3 linked regions of the Saccharomyces cerevisiae S288C genome follow. The gene in region 2 interacts genetically with the main gene of each other region. Each region holds a gene or a part of one and is shown on either strand. Other genes may lie near its edges. The genes, in order: SCD5, ARK1 and CDC50.

Region 1 (4,886 bases), on a different chromosome or scaffold from region 2:
TCAAGTCAAAGCTCCTCCAGGTTATTGTTTTGTTGGGGCGGACGTGGATAGTGAGGAATTGTGGATAGCATCTTTAGTCGGTGACTCCATTTTCAATGTTCATGGTGGTACCGCCATTGGTTGGATGTGTTTAGAAGGCACTAAAAACGAAGGTACAGATTTGCACACGAAGACTGCTCAAATTTTGGGGTGTTCTCGTAATGAGGCGAAAATTTTTAATTATGGTAGAATTTACGGCGCTGGTGCTAAATTTGCGAGTCAGTTACTTAAAAGGTTTAACCCATCTCTAACTGATGAAGAGACAAAAAAAATTGCGAATAAGTTATATGAAAATACGAAAGGTAAAACGAAAAGATCAAAATTATTCAAAAAATTTTGGTATGGTGGATCTGAGTCAATTCTATTCAATAAATTAGAAAGCATCGCGGAACAAGAAACTCCAAAGACACCGGTACTGGGATGTGGTATTACCTATTCACTTATGAAGAAAAATCTGAGGGCGAATTCCTTTCTACCTTCAAGAATCAATTGGGCCATCCAGTCATCTGGAGTGGATTATCTACATCTTCTTTGTTGCTCCATGGAATATATTATTAAGAAATATAACCTTGAGGCAAGGCTTTGCATTTCCATCCATGATGAGATTAGATTTTTGGTGAGCGAAAAGGACAAATACAGAGCTGCTATGGCTTTGCAAATCAGCAACATATGGACGAGAGCAATGTTTTGCCAGCAAATGGGGATAAATGAATTACCGCAAAACTGTGCCTTTTTCTCGCAAGTAGATATTGATTCTGTCATACGTAAAGAAGTCAATATGGACTGCATAACCCCCTCGAACAAAACCGCCATTCCTCATGGGGAGGCGCTTGATATCAATCAACTGCTAGACAAATCCAATAGTAAATTGGGTAAACCAAATCTCGATATCGACAGCAAAGTATCACAATATGCCTATAACTACAGAGAACCTGTATTTGAAGAATATAATAAATCTTATACTCCAGAGTTCTTAAAATATTTTCTTGCGATGCAAGTCCAGTCAGATAAGCGCGATGTGAATCGGCTAGAAGATGAGTATCTGCGGGAGTGTACATCCAAAGAATACGCTAGAGATGGGAACACTGCAGAGTACAGCCTCCTAGACTATATAAAGGATGTCGAGAAGGGCAAAAGGACTAAAGTACGTATTATGGGATCCAATTTTTTAGATGGTACCAAAAATGCCAAAGCTGATCAACGAATCAGATTACCTGTCAATATGCCAGATTATCCCACACTTCATAAAATTGCTAACGATTCAGCAATCCCAGAAAAGCAATTGCTGGAGAACAGGAGAAAGAAGGAAAACAGGATAGATGACGAAAATAAGAAAAAATTAACCAGAAAAAAGAATACCACGCCTATGGAAAGGAAGTACAAAAGAGTGTATGGTGGCAGGAAGGCATTTGAAGCGTTCTATGAATGTGCAAATAAACCGTTAGACTATACTTTGGAGACAGAAAAACAATTCTTTAATATTCCTATAGATGGAGTGATTGACGACGTTCTGAACGACAAATCTAATTATAAAAAGAAACCATCACAAGCAAGAACGGCATCATCATCGCCAATAAGAAAGACTGCGAAAGCAGTACATTCCAAAAAATTGCCGGCAAGGAAGTCAAGCACTACAAATAGAAATTTGGTTGAGCTGGAAAGGGACATTACTATTTCTAGAGAGTACTAGGCAAAATCTGCATTAGCTTTCGCATTTGTATTTATATATACAGCACATTATAATATTATTTTTTTATTTATTTCTACTTACTTTTTTTCGCCAAATGAGAAAACAAAAGTAAGTTGCCCCTATTAGAAAAAGAGTTAACATTAGGAAACGGGGACAAAACAAAAGGTAGAATTCAAAATAGGAATTCAAAACCCAAATTATCTGCATCTTCTCGTTAGCTAAGATTTTATAGATCATTGCAGGCTCGATAAATTTTACATGGTAACGAAACATGTCGTTTGATTGGCTTAATGTTCCGGGATTGGACTTAAGCAGCGGGGACCAAGCAGAAAAGAGGCCATCGAATGGATTAGGACCACCCAGTGTGTCTTTTGATTTTGGTATAAATACTGCTGCTCCACATGATTCCAGCTTTTGGGATCAGGGATCAAGAAGTCACAGTGATACAACTTTGTCTTACAGAAATAATCACTCAAATACAGCAGCTGATAATGCCACTAACGTGAGCTCTCCTCAAAAGGATAATCCACCTAATGGGGAGGTACGAACACTTTCTGGAGGCGATGTGTACGCGGAGTCACCAGAAGACATGCAAGTCCCATTGTCTTTATCACAAAACCAACTTACCCATGAAGAAATAAGGACATATCTAAGATGGTACCACTATATATGTTTGAGAACCCATGGAAAACTAGTAAGATTGAACGACGTGTTTAGGTTCTTGACCAATTTTAATTTATCACAAAAAGTAAAAGATAGAATTGTGGAAATTTTCCGTAGCTGTAAAAATGCGTTAAATATTGGTCAATTTTTCGCTGTTTTAAGATTAGTTTCTAGAGCTATTATATATGGCATCTTACCTCTAAGACGCATGATCTTGGAAAAGGCACCTGTTCCCAAACCACGTCCTATCCTAAGTAGTGAGAATCACGAAGAGGTGTACGAGGAGGTGGAAGACGATGATAGTTCTGCCAAAACTGGTGATCAAAAGGTCGATTTTGACTCATTTGCTTCATTGCTGTTGACTGGTAAGACAACGAGAAAAAGAGTCAGGAGAAGAATCAAAAATTTGAATTTTAAGAGTAAGAAGGTTAGGTTTTCAGAGCATATAACATTTCAAGACCCTCCAAACCTCAATCAAGAATCATCTAATAATAGTGAAGCAAGAAAGCAAGATCCTGATGCAGAAGATGAAGATCAGGATTCTAATAATGACAGTCCTTTGGATTTCACATTGCCCATGGATCAATTATTAAAGAGGCTATATAAGCGGAGAAAAAACAGCGGATTAGTTTCGAGTTTGCCCAGCGAACAACAAGAAACTGAGGAGGAGAAGAAAGTTTTGGAGGATATGAAGGATTCCTTGTCCCATTTCAAACAAATACAGACTGTTGATTCTGCCTCATTGCCAATTTCATCGGTATTTTTACAGAATGGCAATACTCTACCAACTAGCAATGTGAATAACACCACTGTTCCACAGCAACTTCCGTTAGAACCTTTGAAGCCAACCGCCACAGGTTCAGCTAATCACCTGGTGCGAGAAGAATATAATCAGGGGTTGCATCCAAGCAACGGTGCCATCCAAACAGGTTTACAACCTTTAAAACCAACAGCAACGGGCTCTGCAAATTATTTGATGCGAAGTCATATGGAACAACCTCAGTCTATCAAACCTTCGAGTACACCAGAAACAGTTACAAACTCTGGGGGACTTCAACCTTTGAAACCTACCGCCACAGGTTCTGCAAATTACTTGATGAAACAGCATATCTCACCTTCAGTTAATAACCCAGTATCTTCGATGTTTCAGGCGCAATTTACGAACCAATCTTCATCTCCACAAAGTACAGGACCAGCATTTCTGAATTCTCCGAACATTACTCTTCCTCAAAGCAATCAACAGCAACCTTACCAAGAGGTTAATCCGACTCAAGCGAAAATTGAACCATCTAACATATCGCCTCAACACACCTACTCTAACAATGTTCGGATTAATAATGGTAACATCGTATCCATGCCGAAAGTAGAAATAACTGGTGCATTCCCCCCTCAAAACACTCTTCCTCAACATCAGCAATCGCATTTGCTTTCTCCTCAAAATACGATCCCGCAGCACCAACGGTCGCAATTGATATCTCCACAAAATACCTTCACTCAAAATCAGCCCATTCTTTCTCCGCAACATACTTATTCCAATAATCAAGCAACAATGATATCCCCCCAGAATACGTATACTAATAATCAACAGCAGCCCCAACATCTTCCACCTCCTCCACCTCCACGCGCTCAGCAGCAGCAACAAGGGGCCATTGTGCCACCTCAACATATGTACTCTAACGTGCAAAAGCAGAATAATTTGGTGCCGACCCAACCCTCCTATACAAATTCACCAAGCATACAATCTCCAAATTTTTTGTCACCTCAGAATGCTGCTAATAGTTACTTTCAATCTTTACTTTCTTCTTCACCATCTCCAAATCCTACGCCATCAAATGCGTCTACTGTTAATGGCAATAACGCCAGTAATGGCATAAGTTCATTCCAAAATACTAGTGCGGCAATGAACAATACTCAATCTCATCAGACGTATATTCAGCAGCAACAACAACAACAAACTCAACAACGAATATATGGTGGCCAACTTTCTCAAATGCAACAACATCCGGGGCAACTTCACTTAAACAACAGTGATATACATAGCCAACCTAACAAGCCTAATTACGGAATGCTAGGGCAGCAAGTTCATCAACAGCAACAGCAACAGCAGCAGCAATTTCCATTCACTGCAGATGTTAATAGATCCAATTCAAGCGATATTTTGGGTAACTTGCAGTCATTGCAGCAGCAAGTCGATGCTTTACAAATCCAATATAATAGGAGACCATAGTATCGTAAGCTAAACGAGGTGTATAGTTTTGAAAGATAATATATGTAGGTATATGTGTACATAAAGTCACAAAAGTGATGTAATTTATGAACACCTGTTTACTAGCATTATTTATTGTCTTGATTATTGAGCTAGTCTTTTAGTTTCACCAAACATTTAGCAACATGGCGTAAACCTCTGAACAATAGTTAACTAATTTTGCATATACAATGAATGTAGCCAGTAATATTTAATTATTTCTTTAATTTTTTGCTTTTCTTTGGAACC
Region 2 (4,886 bases):
TTGTACATCAGTGAACCGTCAGAAGTTCTGATAGTTCGAACTGTTTGGCACGGCTGACCAAATACTTTTTAACAAGCAAGTTAGTCTACACATAACTTCGTACTTACCACCGTTTTCTTCTGGCGCGCCTCTTCAAGTAGACTACCACCTCTCTTGTAATAGTTGTTATATATGTTTTCATAGTCTGATTTAAATTTTACGCATATTCATCAATTAACCCAATGCACCAAAAAGGCGGGAAAGAAGCAGTAAAGCAAAGGCTTTACTTAAATGCCAAGTAAGGCCTTTGCCAAGCTTTCTTATCGACAGAAGCAGCCCCAGAAGGTTCCTTCGAGAGAGGCGCGCGTATTTATTCACATCGCGGATCACTGGACCCTTAAAATAAAGGCGCCTATTCACAACATCTGCCACAGAAACAACTGTTCAGTTATCCTAGCAGCAGTTTTTGCACAACGGTATAAACCTGTACAAAACTTTAGCAAGGTTTTTTAACACCAAAAGTGCTTGAAGGACACAACACAAACTATAGAACAGACACTGTTTTCCTGACACTGCTTTCCTGACAAGAGACTCGTTTCTGAATTATTTTTTTTTTCAAACATCTTTGTTTCGCTGGAACCATTGAGTCTTTTCTTCCATTTTTAATCTTTATTCTGCCTCCTTTCCTAAACACAAGTTGATACAACGAGGCTGTCAATAGCAAGAGCGTGCGCGAGATTATGCTTTACTCCAGAGAATCAAGGACAACCGTCCTTTTCCTTGCGTTGGTTACCTCCCTAACCGTACTTTGTCACTCGGTCGATGTAACAACTGTATTTACTACGTCAACAATCACCGAAATCACAACTGTGACTGCCGCACCGCAACCACAAAACAAAGCGGAAACCGCTTTGAATACTGCTACTAACATAATTCAAACCATGCAGTTTCTTTTCAACTGCGCACCATTTAAGTGGAAGGGTCCTTTGAAAATAACTTCTTGTGCGCTGAACTTTATTGTCCTACTACTCACCGCTTGGGGCTATCTTCTGAAGTATCTGCAGGAAAATAAGCTGAATAGCGATGCTGATATGGAAAAAATGGTAGGACTGGGATTTGGGGAAATGGTCGGCAGAATCTTCGGAAAGGGTGTCGGGAAAGCTTTTACTAAAATGGATATCACTCAGAAACTAGTGTACCCGTTCGAAGGAAGCAACCGGCAGAAATGTCTACTCATGACCGTCGGAGAAAACTCGATAGTGCCATTCCACGATTTGTCTACAGAGATATGCTTTGACCAGTACACTCTGGACTCGCTATCCCACCACAACCATGGGAGTATTTCGATTTTAGATGCTGGATCAGTGAGCGCCTTGGGGTTCGCGGATATTTCATCGAAAATGCCCTCTGTAAGCGAACTATACACACTTTTTGGAGATTATACGATAGAAGTACTGGGCGGCATCACTAAACTGGCTTCAACTCTTAACAGAGAGGACTGGCAGGGGGAAAGAAACGGGTTCGCGGTTTTATCGAGAGACCGGCCTAACCAGACGTTACTAAGCGTCCATATGTACTCTTCAAGCTTGCTATAGATGGAGCTGCTCCTGGCTGTACACACCATACACCAACTTACCCCTACATGTACATAGTATCTGTCAGTATTTCACTTAATAGGTCTTAATAAAAATTTCAATCTGTGAACACTCAAACCTGTTTCCCAGTAAAAATATACAGCGGCATTGAGTCTTGCGGCTCGCCAACTTGGAAGCAGCCGGGAATGATACTACTTCAGTGGCTTTTTATAGTACTTTCAAATGGCCAAGGTCTCCATAGTATTAACTTGAAGAGAGAAACACGATGCGCTCCTTACTCCCTTATATTCGTCAAACCTCAGTACAACTATTTAGTATTGTAAATGTAAACACGAGGCAAACTTCTCCATGCCAACGATTTGTAACTACGCTTCATTTAATATGGAGAGCACAATCCAGCTTCTTAATTTTAACACTTCAACCTTGGGTTCCTGAAAACAGTTCCTGACACACTCAACAAGTATGTATGCTGAGCTTACAAGAGCTGCACATTTATCTTGGGGTAATAACGAAAAAAGGCCGCTAACCACGGCTTATTTAGGTTTGTTTATGATTTACGGGTTATTTCGAACTCATGTTTATGCATAGCCCTCTTTCGCCTCGCAGCAATAGGGTCCGAATTCTAAGCCTTGTTGATTTAACTATTCTTTTGGTAAATCAACGTGCAGAAAAAATAATTTTTTCATGATAATAAAATAAGAATAGGCCAAGGAAACATCCTAAAAGTGCTAATTGTTTCTCCTTCGTGGTCCTATATTTTCTTTGCCAACTTCTTTCCCTGAGAAAGAAATATTACTCTGCATAATTAGGTATTTTAAGCAACCAGATAAATCAACATGAATCAACCTCAAATTGGCACTTACAATGTAGGTACACAGTTAACAGTTGGGTCACATCAGGTTGAGATCATTAAATATCTAACAAGCGGTGGGTTCGCTCAAGTATATTCCGCGTTAATCAACCCACCTGACCCACATTCTAATTCAAGCGTTGCATGCTTAAAAAGAGTCATTGTTCCAGACAAACCTAGTCTAAACACTTTAAGAGCTGAAGTAGATGCTATGAGGTTGCTGAAAAACAATAGGTATGTTGTATCTTACATTGATTCTCATGCAGCTAAGGCAATGTTACATAATGGTTCGTATGAAGTATTCGTCTTAATGGAATATTGTGAAAGAGGTGGTCTCATTGATTTTATGAACACAAGGCTACAAAACAGGCTTCATGAATTTGAAATTTTGCAAATAATGAGCCAAGTTACTCAAGGAGTTGCCGCTATGCATGCTTTGCAACCTCCGTTAATTCACCGTGATATAAAGATAGAAAATGTTCTTATCTCAGCCAATAATGAGTACAAGCTTTGTGACTTTGGTTCTGTATGCGGTATTATAAGGCCTCCTAGGAATTCACAAGAGCTATCATATGTTCAGCAAGACATTTTGAAAAACACAACTGCACAGTACCGGTCGCCAGAGATGATTGATACATTTCGCGGTCTGCCGATAGATGAAAAGTCGGATATATGGGCGCTGGGTATTTTTCTATATAAGCTTTGCTATTACACAACACCGTTTGAAAAGGGCGGTGATCTTGCCATATTAAGCGGAAAGTTTGAATTTCCATTGTATCCGAACTACAGTGAACAGTTGAAAGGCTTAATACGTGATATATTGGTTCAAGATCCGCGCCATAGGCCTAACGTTTATCAACTACTGAAGAGGATATCAATTATGCAAAATGTTCCGTGTCCAATAAATGACATACAAGTGGTTCAGGCGCCCAGTAGCCATTTGAATTTGACCGAACTTCATCAGCTTTCGGCAACACAAAATATTCTAAGCTTGAACTCTCCCACAACCATGGAAAATACGATGCCGAACGCTACATTTCAAATCAGCATGGCTGATAATACTACAACAGCACAAATGCATCCTAATAGAAAACCATCACAAATAGCATATGACGCTAGCTTCAGTAATTCCGCCAAAGGTTCTCAACCACTTTTTGACAAATCACAGAATATGTACCACGCATTGGATCCTCCACTTGTTGAACCGCTAGCGAGTAGTGTTTCAAATAATGACAACGAACTCAAGGCAAATTCCGCAACCAAGTTAAAGCAGGCAATTGTCTCTGAAGCACATACTTTTAGGCAGAATAATTCAATAGACTTTCCACTACAAAACATAATACCCCAGTACGAAGATTCTTCTTCCTCTTCAGATGAATCTTATTCTGGAGACGTAGATGAATTAAAGAAAACTCGATCTCTAGGTTCTTATTCCACACGCGGTAACATAAAAAAAAACCAATCCGTAAAGGAATCTCTTACTTCATCAAGCCTACCAGGCACTAGCTTCACCCCAACGTCTACAAAGGTAAATTTGAAACACGAAAATTCACCTTTTAAGTCGACATTCGTTAATACGATTGATAATTCCAAAGACGATCTTAACAAACCATCTTATGAAGATTTGGACGTATCTAAGCAGAATTTGAAGAACTCCATTCAACAGCGTATGATCGATAAACTCAACTCTTCTGAGGAGTCATTCAACGCTAGGAAAATGTCCAAGGTCAAGCTGCATGAGAAAGGGGAGATAGATAAGCCAACAATGCTGAAATCAAGTGGCCCGATTTCAAAAGACAAAAAAACAAAACCTACCCCACCACCTAAGCCTTCACATTTAAAGCCTAAACCTCCTCCAAAACCACTGCTCCTCGCGGGACGAAAGTTATCCTTGGATAAGTGAGTATTTGGCTCAACAGAACCGGATCGATCTCTGAAGAGGCTGGTAACATGTTCAAAGAACCTTTATTACAATGTGTTATATATGTAAGCATCCACTTTAATGTATACGTTTTCCCATAATACTTAGTAAAACACAGCTTAATGCATTTGTTCATTTCTTTTTCCTATTTTAGATATATTGGATTATACAATGAACATTGTAACAACTTTATTATTATTCAACTTTCATAAGGCATGAAGGTTGCCGAAAAAAAATTATTAATGGCCAGTTTTTCCTCATTCTTCATCACTCCATTCTTCAAACGAATCCAGTATAAAGTCTGTAGCCTCTTCAAATCTTTCTTCAATTATATTGTTTAACCCGTCCGTATCACATCTCAAAACTCTACCGAATTTTTTTCTTGGTTTTCTGCTTTCATTTTCTTTCCAGCATTGGTGGCTATTGTTTGAAAATATAAGTGAGTTTTTGAAGTACCATTCACTCAATGTTTCATCTACTAGAGGAACTAGTGGCTTTAACTGCTTGTCTCCCAAGAAATTAATTACCGTTTTAGTAACAG
Region 3 (4,886 bases), on a different chromosome or scaffold from region 2:
AACTGTCATCCAGAAGCCCAATGCTCAAGCTTTGAATATCATATTTTAAAAGTTTTTTATGACAATGAAATTTTGTTTCTCCAAGTCAGGACACGGGGAAAATCTTTACTTTTAGTGCTATCCATAAATATACAGTTCTTTAGCCCCATATTTTATCAGTAAAACTACTTATGGCTGTCCTTACCGTATGCGGTATAATGAAACTTTTGAAAGGAACATCTTAATATACCGCCTTGACATATCCGGGTAATAATAATACAATATTCGGAAGTTTTCTAGCATTAAATGGACAGTAAGGTAAAGAAATGAGATGTGGTTGTTATATGGAGATCGTAGAATAAAAAGAGAGACACTTACAGCACTGGTGCGATCCATAACCTGAATTCATAATGCTGGTTCCACCTGCTAACTTTGGGATTGCTGAAGAAGGAATATATAGATGTTCTAAAGTGGAGACATTAAATTTATCCTTTCTGGAAACTCTCAATTTAAAGACAGCTATATTTATTGGAGGTCAAGAACCATCCAAGTTTTTCAAAGATTTTTTCACAAGATCATCCATAAAATGGATTGTTTTAAGGATGTCTGATTTCTCGGCTGCGGCAGTTCCGGTAAAAAGCTCTTCTGTATCTAACGCAAATTTATATTCGAATAATAACAGTACTCTATCATTACAGGAAGAAAAGAAAAAATCCACTGCAAATGGGTCACAAAATTCTACTACAGGGGATCCTGTAATTCAGGAGGAATTGGCTTACCACTTGACTGACAATGATGACTTAATGCTGATTAAGAGCACGTGTTTAAAAAGAACTTTCAAAACATTATTGAATGTGGATAATTATAATGTTTTATTGGTAGATAAGACCGCGTTGGTCATTGGTATACTTCGAAAAATTCAGAAATGGAATATTGCATCAATCATAAATGAGTACAGATTATTTTCTGGTAAGAATAGAAATTATTTTGCGGAAACATTTCTAGAAATAATTAACATTGAGATAGAACAGGAGAAGGATAATAAGACAATTGTGGACAACAAAGCAAAAAAATTGCCCCTTGAGAATAATAGGACGCATTCGATAGAGTATAAGGCCAATTCTGGCAAACTTATTAGAGTAAATGAAGATGACCTTTGCAGAGAGCCAGAAGTGCCTCAGCGGCTTTTGACATTAATAAATCAAATCGAAACCAAAGTGAAAAATAATAAAGTATTACAAGTAAGTGGAGTTCTAGGAGACGATTTGAAGAAAACCTCTTCTGACCTAGGAATTTTTGGCCATAGGTATAGATTAGCATTTAATAAAAAAGAAAATGGAGATTATGGCTATTATAAAGCAAGGGGAAAAGATAACGTCAAAATAAGGATACCCTGTGATTCTGAATTACCAGATTGGTTCAGGTTTCAACGAGATTTGTGGGAAAAAGAAAACGTTCCGGAAGAGCATCACTTTTATAGGGAACATATTTTTACATAGTTTACATTTTTACGTATATGTATAGATGATTTCATGATAAACGTTTTCCACTTTTCTATCATTTCATCATCTAAATGGGAATAGCAAACCCTGGGAGTTCTTTGTCGCACTATTTTCCAAGCGTAAAAAGGCATACTTCAATTTTTCTTTTGTTTACGTTTCAGGAAGTCAACAAAACTTGTTTACTTATAAACACAAATACCTACAGGCACTAAAGTTTGTTTTTTGGCCTCTATAAAATTTCCCTCAATGTTGTATTCTCTGCGTGTACATCCTCATAATCCTCGTTTTCTTCATCATCAAAATTCAAATAAGTGTGATCACCCATCGCTCTTGGTTGGAAGATTAATTTAACCAAAAAAATGATGCCAAATAAGGCGCAAAGCCCTGCAACGATGAGGTACAGTACGCCTAGTGACATATTTCTACCACCAATAGCTCCATTTGTAGTCAGTACAAATGATTTTGTGCCACCAAAGAGTGAAATCGGATAATTCAACTCAATGTTCATTTGATATTTACCCTTCGGTAAAGAAGCAGATTCATTTTTCAACGTCAACTTGTAAAACTTGGGAAAGGCTGCAGTCCTCATCCATACCTGGAACTCTTCCCAAGTATGGATATCAGGAAGATTTTCATCTGTATACCCATCGGGATACTTCTTCATCCAGTTTGGCGGTGGAACAATATCGCTAGCATTATACTTGGTGGTTTTAAATCTGTGACGATCAATACTCCATGATATATGCTTGTTAGTTAAATTATAGTCTTCTGTGTCATCTATACCACTCAACACCTGAGAAAATGTATCATTAAACATGGAATTAGCGATCAACCCACAGGGATATATTATTTTGTCTTCCCTACTTCTTATTGGACTACAGCTTGTATCCAGATCATCTTTTTTGATAGGCTCCCCTAATATTTGCTTTGTGTCAAACGATTGGACATATCTGCGATGATTTTGATAAAAATTGGTTATTTTATAATATATAAAAATGGATTTCTTGATATCGTTTGGGATTTCGAACTGCAGTTCGCATGATTGTTCGCCATTTTCATTTTCGGTTAGCCTCCATTGTGGTTTATTTTCAACTTTACTTTTAAAGTGATATTTAATGTACTTCTTTGGTATATCTTCAAAAGCAGTTGTAGATGCTTTTGTATCACAATGACTATAATCAATTGTTAGATCTTGTACCTTAGTAGCGCTTACAATGAGTCCAATACCAATAGGAGTAAATATACATGCAACGAATATTAACAACGGAAGCACACTTTGAGGAGACAGTATTGGTTGCCATGCCTTAAGCCTTTGTTGTCTAAACGCTGTGTTAGGAGGCTTTTTAGAAGTGGGGCCTTCTTTCGTGAGCGGTGGAGCCTTACCTCTTTTGAACAATGAAACCATATACAAGCTGTTCTATAGAACTTCAAGTTCGATTACTCAATTATTCTTTGTTCGCAGTGCGTCATGGACATAAGGTAATTGCAGCTCTTGTTTGATATAAATTGATGCTCATTATTATTATTATTCTCCAAAACAATAATACGGGTAACACTAATTTTCAGTAGTTCAAAAGTGAAAGCGACCCATATACAGTAAGAAAAGTTAATCGAAATTGCTTCTATTCTTATTCAAAATAGTATTCTCTGAAATATAGTATTATACAAGTTATATTTTTTTTTCTGAAATCATGATTTTCGTATATAAATAAATGCAGTTTTTTTATGCGTTGGATTGTAGAGGGGTTTGCCTTCTATTGATGGTGGCGGATTGGTCATCTTGTTCACTGGTTGTGTATTTTTTGGAATATTTTACTAATTGTTGTAAAATTAGTTTAATTTCGGGAACACTTTGTACAAAGGGCAGGTCTAAAAGATTAATATCGTTATTGTTTATCAACTGAGTAAAGAAAACTGAAACACCCCAGGTATGTGGTTTGTTAACAATAATTCTTTTTAAAAAGTTTCTTAAAATAATTTCTTGGACTTCAAGTTTTTGATCATTCCATTCGTCACTTTTGAACATATTCATTAACACAAAGCTGAACCAATAGGTGTGGATGTTTGGATACCGCAATTGTTCCACAATAGACAGAATAATTTGATATTTCATTTCGATGCTACCATTTTGAATCAGATTGAACAATAAAGTATAATAAGAAGACTTCGTATTAAATACCGCATTTGAAGAAGTTCTCTTATACTCTATTCCAGCTTCAATGCCCACATGTAATACAATAGCGCGAATTAATTTACTATCAACAGATAAAAAGTCGTAGCCTACGCCCTTTTTTATGTCATAGGTATCCTTGTAAATAGCGCTTAGTATTGTTCTTAATAATGAATTTGAGGGAATACGTAGGTAGTTGTCAACTGGCTTTTTCAATGAGTGTAAATCAATTACAGGATCAAAGAAGACTTCAGGTAGTTCTTTACATGCTGGAATATCCTCCATATTAAGATCCACGTCATATGGGTTGGGAACGGTCATATTCTTAGGAATAGCAGATAAAATAACATTCTTTAGTTGGAAATATGTTGGAGGTAGATTGTTCATTAATTCATAGTGATTTTCAATCAAAAAGGATGGCATATCATTCGAAATGCCTAAAATAACACGCAGTGTTCCCTTATAAACAACCGAAACAGCGTCAGAGACTGCATGTTTACTTGTGTATTGGTCCAAAAATTTAAACAAATCGATAATCAAAAGCATTAACTTTTCCCAACCTATTTTATTGGGTAATCTTAGCATAATTGGTAATAACATTCTGTGTGATAATAGTGTCACCCATGCAAATGAGAATCCAGGGAAGGCAAATGGTTGCAGAGCGTGCAAATATCCTGAGAAAGTGTTGTAAAATACAGAATCAAATTCGATCAGCTCCTGCCTAGTGCTGGAATCAGATATTCTAACAAAATTGTGCGTCCTGATGGTAGCCCATTCGTATAAGATGTTAGAAAATAGTCTGAAATATGGTCGTTCATTGAATGTGGTACCCTCTTGGCTATGATCCTTAGCAAACACTAAAACGATCACAGAAAATATTGCATTTATGTAATCTCTTCTTGTATCATCTTTGAAACCCTGTAAAATCAACAATTTTATAATTAGCGATCCTAGAGCATCAATAGCGATGAAAACCTCATCAGTCGGGTCACTTTCTTTGAATGAAGAAACTGATAGCTCAAGAGAACTTTTGACAAATGTAAGTAAATTATCAGTATCGCTGATAACACCCTTTTCGACTAATTGCTTGATAAAAACAGTTGTGATTACGTCGTTATTCTCAACTCTTTGAAGTAATTTTACCCATTCCGTAAATACTAAGTAAAGCTTTTCTGTTCTTGTGGTTTTGGTACCTTTCCTCACTGGCATTATCTTAGTATCTTCGAACTCTTTGA

The links.
Region 1: of ARK1 (region 2) and SCD5, a mutation in one rescues a mutant of the other (synthetic rescue), as found in Saccharomyces cerevisiae (one study listed by BioGRID).
Region 3: mutations in ARK1 (region 2) and CDC50 together harm fitness more than expected from each alone (negative genetic interaction), as found in Saccharomyces cerevisiae (2 studies listed by BioGRID).

Annotation. Positions count from the first base shown.
Region 1 is NC_001147.6:936,464-941,349, reverse strand, and holds SCD5 (Scd5p), read left to right. Parts: upstream 1-2,000; coding exon 2,001-4,619; downstream 4,620-4,886. Other genes in the region: DNA-directed DNA polymerase gamma MIP1, read left to right, coding at 1-1,729; ATP-binding cassette multidrug transporter PDR10, read right to left, coding at 4,853-4,886. UniProt on the Saccharomyces cerevisiae protein: Regulates both fluid phase and receptor-mediated endocytosis. Involved in vesicular transport at a late stage of the secretory pathway. Regulates actin cytoskeleton organization.
Region 2 is NC_001146.8:595,064-599,949, reverse strand, and holds ARK1 (serine/threonine protein kinase ARK1), read left to right. Parts: upstream 1-2,410; coding exon 2,411-4,327; downstream 4,328-4,886. Other genes in the region: YNL018C (uncharacterized protein), read left to right, coding at 1-14; YNL019C (uncharacterized protein), read left to right, coding at 720-1,574; histone deacetylase HDA1, read right to left, coding at 4,603-4,886. UniProt on the Saccharomyces cerevisiae protein: Involved in regulation of actin cytoskeleton organization and endocytosis.
Region 3 is NC_001135.5:284,762-289,647, reverse strand, and holds CDC50 (aminophospholipid translocase regulatory protein CDC50), read right to left. Parts: upstream 2,887-4,886; coding exon 1,711-2,886; downstream 1-1,710. Other genes in the region: YCR095W-A (uncharacterized protein), read right to left, coding at 1-9; OCA4 (Oca4p), read left to right, coding at 390-1,478; CCR4-NOT core subunit CDC39, read right to left, coding at 3,205-4,886.